Caenorhabditis elegans: one gene and its partner. The protein of the gene in region 1 purifies or fractionates together with the protein of each later gene. This does not show direct contact. Each region holds a gene or a part of one and is shown on either strand. Other genes may lie near its edges.

Region 1 (3,885 bases):
ATGAGTATATTGCTTTTGTAGGTTGGAAACAGAGGGTATTTGATGTTTCACAATGACCGTGCTTCCTCATTTACTCCACTAGGTTCTTAGTTGTCTTTATTTTTGTTGAGATAACCAACTGAGTCATCCTGTTCTCAGAAAACTTTTGTCATTTTTTGTTTATAGAAAACAACTGTCATATCGACCAAAAAACTGGGTTTATTCACTTCACAGTTTTTTTTTGTGAAAATCGTGTGAGCATGTCTAGTCTCCGTGAGTATTACTTAACAAACTATACAACATGTCCAAGATGCGATACGTTTTTGTGCTCTTGGCAAGACTTTTCTTACACTTCCCATTTTTTGACTGCATTTTCACTTCCAGTTTATCTTTTTGGAGGTTACTGTATCCTATACAAAAGCCCAAAGGAAATGTCAACCTATCGAATTCCGCTTTTCAATTTCCATGTTTGGTAAGTATACACATCACAAACATTGACTGTGCACATGTAGAAATATTCAGGACGTGTCTGGCGGATGTGTTTTTGAATTGCCTCGGGACACCATATATATTTCTTCCAACTCTCACGGGATTTTCAGTTGGCTTGTTGAACTTTTTGGGTGTCCCACCGAAAATTCAGGCTTGGCTGGCATTTCAGAGTCTGAATTGTAAGTTTAGGTATCCGGAAGTGTAGCAATCTGGAAGCTGGAACAGTTCCCATCAGATACATTTTAAAAATCCGCAGCCGACATTGAGCGAGATCGCGTCAGACCACACAGCGCGCAATCAATTTCACAAAATCAAAAAATTGTTTCAGTCATGTTATTATCTACAACAATATTGGTAGAAAATCGGAATAACGCAATTCCATTCAACAAGTTCAAAATAACTCGGAAAAGTACGAAAACTATTTACTATCTAACAAAACTACTGATTGGAGTATTTTACGCAGCATCATTCACATTTTTCATACCAGCAAACCAGGAAGAAGCACTCTTTAAAGTTCTCAGACGGCTTCCATGTCCTTCTCAAGACTTTTTCACGGCTTCCAATATTTTTGTATTGTGCATCGATGATTATCATATTCATTTTTTAATTGCCTTCACAGTATTAGGAGTTGTGGTAGAAGTGATTCAAATTTTGTTTTACTTGACATGTTGTGTCTACTATTTGTTTTTCTCGATTCGTTCGTTTACTTCAAAGACCACGAGAAAGTTGCAAATTAAATTTTTGGCAAGCATACTTCTACAAATTTCAATTCCTGTTTTGTTCATGTTACCGACCGCTTTTTATATTTGGTTTGCTGTTGATTTTAATTATTATAATCAAGGTTCGGAATAAATTTGTGGGTAAATTTAAACAAAAAACCAATTTTCCAGCATTAACCAATTTGTCAATTCTTCATGCTTCAATTCATGGCTTAATATCTACAGTCGCTGTACTCATTATACATCATCCTTATCGGCAGTTCGTTTTGTCATATTTCTGGAAATCTAAACCAAAACAACCCTTGAAAAATATCGATATAGATTCTGTGGTAATTACTCAAATTGTTATCAAATAATTTTTTCATAAAAGGAGTTTTTTTAATAAACTATGTTTTTTTACAAACCTTACCTTTTTTCCTACAAATCAACAAAGCCGAAGAGCAGTAGAATGCTCAAATATCACAACAGGGATGTGCTGAAATCGGAAATTTTTGACAACTTTGGCCATTGCTGGAGCAATTGCCACCCGGCCATGCTTCAAAGTGATGTCTGAACGTAGCCTGAAAATTAAGGGATAATTATCATTTCTGCAGCTTCCGTCTTCGATTTAATAATATATTTTTCTGAGACAATTCCCTTTTTTTAGTTCCAGCTTTTGAGTAAAATATTCGTTCTTCAATTCCTTCCGCAATAAATCAAAAAAAAAAATTAAATTTCTGGAGGCTTTCTGTTTTTCCATTCCTTTTGATATCAAAAAGTTTTTAGTTTTACAACAATGATTAGTGACAAATATCTTCAAATTGATTTTCCGGGCTTTGAGCATTCTACTGCTCGTCGGCTATACCGAATCGAAAGATATCTGGCGTAAGTGTCATATAAATCAAAAGAAAGGTATTTCAAGATCAGAGAGTTTCAGAGTTTTCACAGAGAAAGTTCTGTCATATGAGTCTATCATTTCAATTACTTGTATTTTGGTAAACATTTTACATTCTGCAATTCTGACAAGAAAATCTATGAGAAACTCCTCCATAAATATCATTATGACTGCAGTGGCTATTTTAGACATTTGCACATTTTTTTCAGAACTCAAGAAAATCGTCGAGCGATTTCTCCGAGATTATTACGATTGTTTTCAAAGTGAAACATATACTTTTGTAATAATCGAAACTTCGTTTCAAGTCCTCCAAGACTATTCCCGGCGGTGTTCAACGTGGCTTTGCTTTCTCATCGCGCTTATTCGAACACTAGTCATCAGAAATCCTCTGAACCAAAGCTACCAGAAATTAGCCGGTCCTGCCCTCTCTGGTTTTGCAATTCTCGGAATATTATTTTTGAGTCTTCCGATTTCAGTGGTCTTTTCTCTGGAATATGAACTAATGAAAAGTTCTGTGCCATCATTTTGTAATTCAACTGAAACAACTTACTACACAGTTATATCTGATATGTTTGCGGATAATGATGGGTATTATTTGAAAATATTTTCAATTGTTAACGGGCTCGTTTCAAATGTAATTTCTTTTCGTTAGGCCTAACTACAGGGTTTTCTAAATTCCAGATAATTCCCTGCGTGCTCTTCCCGATAGTAACTTTCCTATTGGTCGTCGAGCTCTGGAAATCGGATAAAAAGCGAAAAAATCTTTCTTCCACTGCAAATGTAAATGACTCTAGAAAAACTACTAGACTGGTATTCTACATATCTATTACGTTTTTTATCGCCGAATTTCCGCTTGGAATAACATTGGGTGCAACTTGGTTTTTTCTCGATGTTCCTGGAATGAAGTGAGTTGATCATTGCCTGAGTGACGCCACTAAGGCATCGAGGAACTCCGTTTTTGATGCAACCAGCGAAATGTCGGCCGCGCGATAAATATCTTTTATTAAATTTTAACCGGGTTGTTTTATGATTTAGATCAATAATGAGTTACTTCTACTACAATTTTTCCTTGCTCCTGTCTGCAAATACAGCTACCCACTGCATAGTTTGCTTCTTCATGTCATCTCAATATCGGATTGCTGCAAAGCAAGTAGTGTCCTGTGGATATTTGACTCAGGTTCGGGTATGTTTCAGGCTTGATGCAACATTTTGTAGATTTAGAAAAACAAAGCAACTGTGATTCAAGTCACTCACACTAGTTCTGCAAGGCGACAAGTTTTTAAAAAGTGAGGTTGACAAAATGCCGAGGACGAGTGGAAATTGCTACAATTGTATGTTAATTTACTATGATTTGTATAGCTTTTCATTCAAGTGTTTTAAGAATAAATATTTTTTTCACTATCGGTAGAACATCTTGTTTTGATCTAGCTGGTTAGAGATGAATCAAAGAGATTTCTAACACATCTATGTTTTTTTTTCTTGAAGCTAATTAATTTTTCTCGAATTTTTTCTTTTGATTCATAATAACACGACGAAAAACATTGTCTTGTGTTTTTATCAGCTCCGCGCTTTGTTCAAAATATCAGAGAAAACCCGTTTCACATACATAGGTATATTCAAAAACTTTCAAATTATTCCAAAAGCTTGGGCCAAAAATTTCTGATTTTCAACTAAATTGGTGAAAATATTTAATTTAACTGTGCATTCCTGACTCACAAAAACAAAATTTCAACTATCCCCACTACACTCTGAGAAATTAAAAAAACCGGACGGCTTACATCCGGCATTAAATGTGGTGTAGTCAAATTTTTTTGTTGTTTTATT
Region 2 (6,134 bases), 3.5 Mb from region 1:
TGTAGTTATGAATATGAAAGGATTGTTGTCCTCGAAAATGTTTCGTTACGTTTGTTAATTTGGATTAGTTCATCTAGAAAAGGGTGCGAATTCAAGTCACATCAACAATTTGTCAGCTAAACAAATAGTCAAGTTTGCAAACTTTCCAGAACTGTTTCCATGATTTCAAAAACCTACCGAAAAGATTGGCAAAATTTCATATTTAATCTTAAGAGATTTAAGTTTCAATTTCATTCATTTTCAGATCTTTTTCCATCTTTTTTGGTGCACTATAAAAACCGTTTTTTGCAGTTTTTGTGCTAAAATCATCTTTCCATCGGCACACACAACGTGATGCTATCAAAAATGAAATTCTCGTACAATTGCCATTTTTGATCGGAAACTCTGTTTGACATTTCACCAGTTTTACATGAGTCATAGTCTGGTGTACACCAAGAATTGAGCATAGATCGTGAACTGGTCATGAGTCATTTCAGGTGATTTTTGAATGGGTCATACACGAGAGAATTTTTTATTTAATAAAAATTATTTTATTGACTGAGTGACAGTAATATATGAAACAGGTTAGAATGATAGTGCAGAATGAGTTCAAATTGGTACAAGTTATGGGTATAAAACCGTTTGTTACAAAATGGGATGGTTCAAACGAAAAGGTTTGAAAGTTCGTGGAACGATTCGGAGAGCAACTTTGCAAACTTTGTTGAATCAGTGTTGGCAGCGGAATGATAACTTGTGATGTTTGCAAAGATTCCGTGGTTTCCTCCAAAGCGATAGCAGATTCCGTAGCCATCAGCAGCGACTGCTCCGAAGCATGCTCCGAGCCAAGTGTTGTCTGAATCAGTGTCCTCGTCGCATTGATTAGTCACGTTTGGAACCTGGAATAGGATATGTTCAAATTGTAAAGTTAAAAAAAAAATAATTAGGAAAATCCAGAAAAAGCAATTGTTGAAAAATGTTTGAATTAAAATCCTTCAGCTCATTATTAGAAAGTTACGTGATACAACTGCCAAATACATAGCACTATGTCATCTTATTTTAATGATTACTCACATGTGAGGTAGATAGCTTCCACTTTTGATTAATATAATTGTCAAGGAAAGGACTCTGAATCCCCGTTCCTTGAGATAAAATATACAGAACAAAGAGATGACGATCGACTCCTTGCCCAACCATACACTTCTTGTTTCGAAGAACATGAGTTTCACAAGCTTTTTTCAAAAGAGCAATCTTGGCTTCTTTCTGAAATTTGAATTTTTCATCGTCTTAATAACTTCAAATTAACTTACCGTTTCATTTGCATTCAACATAGCTTCCACAAATTCACAAGAGTGATCGTTAACTGTTCTCAAAGTTTCGGTCCTCGAGTTTGCAAAGAATCGAGCTGATGCTGGTTCATATGTGAGCACAAATTTGCCTTGATCTCGATAGTTGGCAAGTTGAATAGCCATTTGAATGAATGCATCTGGTGAGACACCACACTTCTTGATACGTCCTTTTCCAAAATCACGGAATGCAAGGGCATACAGGTCAAGGTCATTCTTGGCGATTTGATGAGCATCGTAGCAGCGAGTGATCTCGGAGAGCATCTGAAAAATGATTATTTTGACCTGAAAGGTAAGGCAAAAAATGAAGCTTACCTCTTGATCTGGAACTTCAAAGTTCAATGGAGTAGCAAGCTTCAGAGATTTCTTATCATTCTCTTCAATAACTGCCATTTTCTCTTGCTCTTCAATTGATTTGTATTTCAAAACTTCCAAATCTACATATACAAAGTTTTCCATAATATGATCAAATTCTGCTCCATCCGCAATAGAATGCTCAGTTGTTCCACCGCATCGAGCATTTTTCGAACAAATATAATTAAGAGACTTATCAACCCATCGATTAGTTCCATCTCCAGAAAGACAATTGGCAAGGAAGTTGCTGAGAACTTCGGGTTTCTTCTCATCATATCCATAATCATCATTCTCATCGAGTGTGAAAAAGAATACAGCACACTCGATTTCCTTGAGGATTTGAGCATTTTTCACGTTTCCAAGGAAATACTTTTGACGGTTTCTGTGCCAAGAGTCCCTGGTATCGTGGGTCAATGCTGCGATTTTTCCAATAACCCCTTCCTCCTTCTCGTCTCGGGAAATCATTTCGTGGAAAATTCTAGAATTAATTATTTATATTGATTTTTAAAGCTTTACTTGGAATTTTTATTAAAATGTTTGGCAAGTTGCTGACATTAAATTTTGAAATTTTTAGCATGTTTTTTTGACGCTTATATGCATCTCAGTTCAAAGAAATTTAAAAATCAGTGCACATTTGAAACTCCATATTCACCATTATTCTCAGTTTAAAAAAAATTGAAAATCAGTGCACATTTGAAACTCCATATTTTCCAAAATTCTCAGTTTAAAAAAATTTGAAAATCAGTGCACATTTGAAATTCCATATTTTCCATAAAGATAACCAAATGCGTTTAAAATAAATTTTTGAAATTTCGTGTATATATAACGTGTTTAAAATTTAAATATGTAATTAACTCTGTATTTTTGGCTACCCCCATTTTTTGAAGTTTCAGTAGTTTTAGCGTTGCTCTAAAATAAATTGTTGCTGAGCTTATACTTTGGAATTTTTAAGAAAAAATGGTATTTAACAGTAAGATGTTCGCATTTTTCAGCATCTCTGAATGAGTTGTTTTTAACAAAAATATTTGAATTCAATTTCGAAGATGATATCGGCAGTTGCCAAAGTTAGCAAACGATAAAACTTTTAGCAACTTTTTTCTTCATAGCTTTTGATGAGCTTTTAGAAAATATGCCATTTGCTTTACAATTTCCATTACACCATATGCAATTTCCTGGTTAGAATATTTTTCCAACTTGCGTCTTGCGACTAATATAATAAACTCTGATGTTATAAAATATCAGTAGTGCAGATCCTTTTTCGATTAACTTTTACGTACTTCGTCAATTGTTCCACAGTGTAGATGTTGTTCTTATCATCAACCACGTGAATCTTATAGTATTTTCCACGCAACACCACTACAATGTGCTTCTGAATTCCGTGCAATATCAGCTGATCAATCTTCTTCCCTGGTTCTCGGGTTACTGCATACATATTTTTGTAATGTCTGGTGCAGACAAGTCCGTCGCCAAGCTGGAAACATTCATATTGATGATAAAATGTTATCAAAACAATTGTTTGGTTTTTTTCGGTGCAAGATTGCGACGTGTAACATTCACTGATAAGAAATAGGGCAAAATACAAACGATCAGGAATCACAAAAAAAACATACCGCCTTGTACTGTTGACGATCAATTGCAAGATGCGACATGACTTCAATCCAGGTTACTCGAGCTGCTCTGTGAGCTCGTGTTGCTTCTTTGTCTCGGAGCAAGTCACAATGAGCAACACTGCTATTAATCATAAGTGGGTATCTCCCATGAAGATATGCATACTTTTGCCAGAACGAGGTGACATAGTTGTCGGTGAACAAAGAGTAGATCCACGTGTATCTCTGAAGCTTCTTTCCCTCGTTTTCCAGAAACTCATGTGCTTGCTTGGCGACAATCTCGTACTCTTGTTCTGATAGAATATGTTTCATGGAGTCAAGGTATTCAGAAATAGTGTCTTTGAGAGCTGGTACCGGGAGACTCGGAAGAAGGCGATCACAAGATTCAAGGATTGGTGGGGAAATTGAGAGAATGTGTCGGACAATCTGAAATTTGAACAATAAATTCTGATGGTGTTACAAAATAACTTACACCCCAAATTTTCGTTTTCAAACATGGCTTCTTTGGGTTGTCAAACAAGAATCCTTTGTATGAGAAGTAGAAGTGCTTGAGAAGTTTTCGAAGTGTGAATACTCCTGCGTAGGATCCAATTGCCGCGACTGCAGTGGTTTTTGCAATTTCAGCAACTTCCGATCCGAACTTTGGAAGAAGATCAAGAATCGCATTTTCTGGGTATTTGTAGTGTAGGGTGGCCGCCAGAGCAACGGTTGTGGCAACGAATGGAATCGGTTTGATAGGCCAAAGTGTGTTCTCAATCCAATTCTGAAAATATAGATACTTCATGGTTGTTTGGTAACTTTGAAAAAGGTAATGTTTTAAAAAAAAATTGTTTTCTGTGTTTTGTTTCCTAAACTAGATCCAATTCGAAATTCCAAATTCTACCCACTTAACAACTAGTTTTTCTCTGACTTCCCACAACACGTAGAAAAGGTCAATTGAGGTAAATTAGCCAATTTTCTGATTTGATAAAACTTACGTAGGTCTTGTAGGATGCTTGTTCAATTGGCGATGGGAATTTTGTTGGAAAAGGATATGGTGAACGAACTGTTTTCTTTTTGTTGGACGACATCTGAAATTATGGTAAGGTTTTTGAAATTGAAGAGTTGAAATTGGCAGGATAGGTAATAAAGTTTAGAAGGCTGCAGACGAAAAAACAACAAATTTGATGAACGTGAGTGATGTTGTGGTGATAAAATTGGGGGATGAGAATCACAAAAAAAGAAAACTAATTAATCTACATTATCAATTTAACTTTGCCTTTTCTCCAGTCTCCGTCTACACTTATTGCTGACTTTTTAAAGGAGAAAGATCAAAATTGTATTCTGATCGTATTCTAGTTGACTTTCATTCTCATAATCTTATCGATAGGAAACAAAATATTTCGAGAGAATCATGTGCTGGAAACTCTTCAAAAAATGGCTGAGATAAGAGAACGATGGCTTTTGAAGCAAAAAGAGTAGAGTACAAAGTGGAGTAGAGTGAGCAGAGTCTGCTTCAAGCAAAAAATAAGATGAAAAACGAGAGTTTTGTTCCGTGTTGTTGAATGAGCGAAAAAAAAGCCTGAGCACAACAAATATAGGGTTTCTAAATCCCATCAGAAAATGGAGAGATGTAGAGTGAGAAGGAAATACGGCATATTTTATGAATAGAATTTATTTTCTGTCAACCAAAATTTGGAGAAAAACCTGCAAATAAAGCATTGCGGAAAAATAATTTTTTAGAAAAAACCCGTCATATATTCTTCAATATGTTTTTTATTTGGAAGATTTGAAAAAAGATTTCAGTTTCAAAATTTTTGAAAGGCTTTCTGAAAAATTTTGTAACACAGAACAAATATTATTCCGGAAAAATCAAAAATTCTAGTTAAACAATATGCATTTCTAAAAAAAATTTTACTTTCAATGCTTTATAAAAAACAAAAACAAACTGAAAACAAAAAAGTAGAACACGTATCTGGAAAAGAGGAAAAAGGCAATATTGAACACCATATGGTGTGCACAATTCTAGTCGATAAAAGGAACAATGGGACAAAATCTAGATAGAAGGCCGATCAATATCTAGATTTAAAGGGGTCGTAACTAGATTGTAGTCAGACCTGTGAGGTTTGGTGCAGGTGGTTTGAAAGAATATGGTGCAATTTATCTACTAAAAATAATATATTTTCATTTTGGAAATAAATTTCAGAAGTAAAATAATAAGTTGGGATATCAAGAGTTTTTGATAATTTTAAAAGAATTGGGAGTACTGTTTAAAACCAGTGCTAAAATTACCTACTATAAAAAAAAGTTCAAACATGCCGCATTGCTCCAAATTCCTCAAAAAAACCTGTTTTAAATTTGGTAAAATTGGCTATTTACCAAAATTTTTCCTGAAAAATCTGAAAAATCCAAGAATTTTCGGTAGTTTTAAAATGATATTCGATTATTTCAGATTATCGTACGAGTATATAGATGATATTCCCTGGTGCAACTCTAGATTTAAGTTTGAAAGATCTCCCAGCCCTATCAATTGTGTCACCTGGAAATCGAGCAAGCTACAAAAGAACCCGCCAAAATTCAAATGAAAGTTCAGCTTAAAAACGCACTGGAAAATTATAAAAGTACAATAACCGCCGGTCAAAATGTCGACGAAAAATATGTCCGATAACAGTTTGATGTAGAGTAAGGAAACACACAAGCAGGGCGAAATGATAGAGAGGGAAAGTTTGTCTGGTTGACCTACTATCGGAGAATCTTCACTGCAGGCGGTTATGAGAAAATTCGTGGATGCAAACACAGCTGGTCGAAATGGGAAAGCTTTAGGGTGCTACGATGTAGCCTAGGATTAAAAAAAAAGTTTTTATCAGATGGG

What was found. The genes of interacting proteins can lie anywhere in the genome.
Region 2: the proteins of srw-137 (region 1) and cpt-6 fractionate together in Caenorhabditis elegans (co-fractionation; one large-scale study listed by BioGRID). This does not show direct contact.

The regions. Positions count from the first base shown.
Region 1 is NC_003283.11:2,942,037-2,945,921, reverse strand, and holds srw-137 (G-protein coupled receptors family 1 profile domain-containing protein), read left to right. Parts: upstream 1-1,962; coding exon 1,963-2,051; intron 2,052-2,103; coding exon 2,104-2,695; intron 2,696-2,742; coding exon 2,743-2,966; intron 2,967-3,096; coding exon 3,097-3,238; intron 3,239-3,282; coding exon 3,283-3,351; downstream 3,352-3,885. Other genes in the region: srh-87 (Serpentine Receptor, class H), read left to right, coding at 240-451, 502-647, 797-1,309, 1,359-1,543.
Region 2 is NC_003283.11:6,489,569-6,495,702, forward strand, and holds cpt-6 (Choline/carnitine acyltransferase domain-containing protein), read right to left. Parts: upstream 4,354-6,134; coding exon 4,261-4,353; intron 4,047-4,260; coding exon 3,756-4,046; intron 3,710-3,755; coding exon 3,287-3,709; intron 3,148-3,286; coding exon 2,954-3,147; intron 2,155-2,953; coding exon 1,638-2,154; intron 1,587-1,637; coding exon 1,287-1,586; intron 1,240-1,286; coding exon 1,051-1,239; intron 876-1,050; coding exon 642-875; 3' UTR 518-641; downstream 1-517.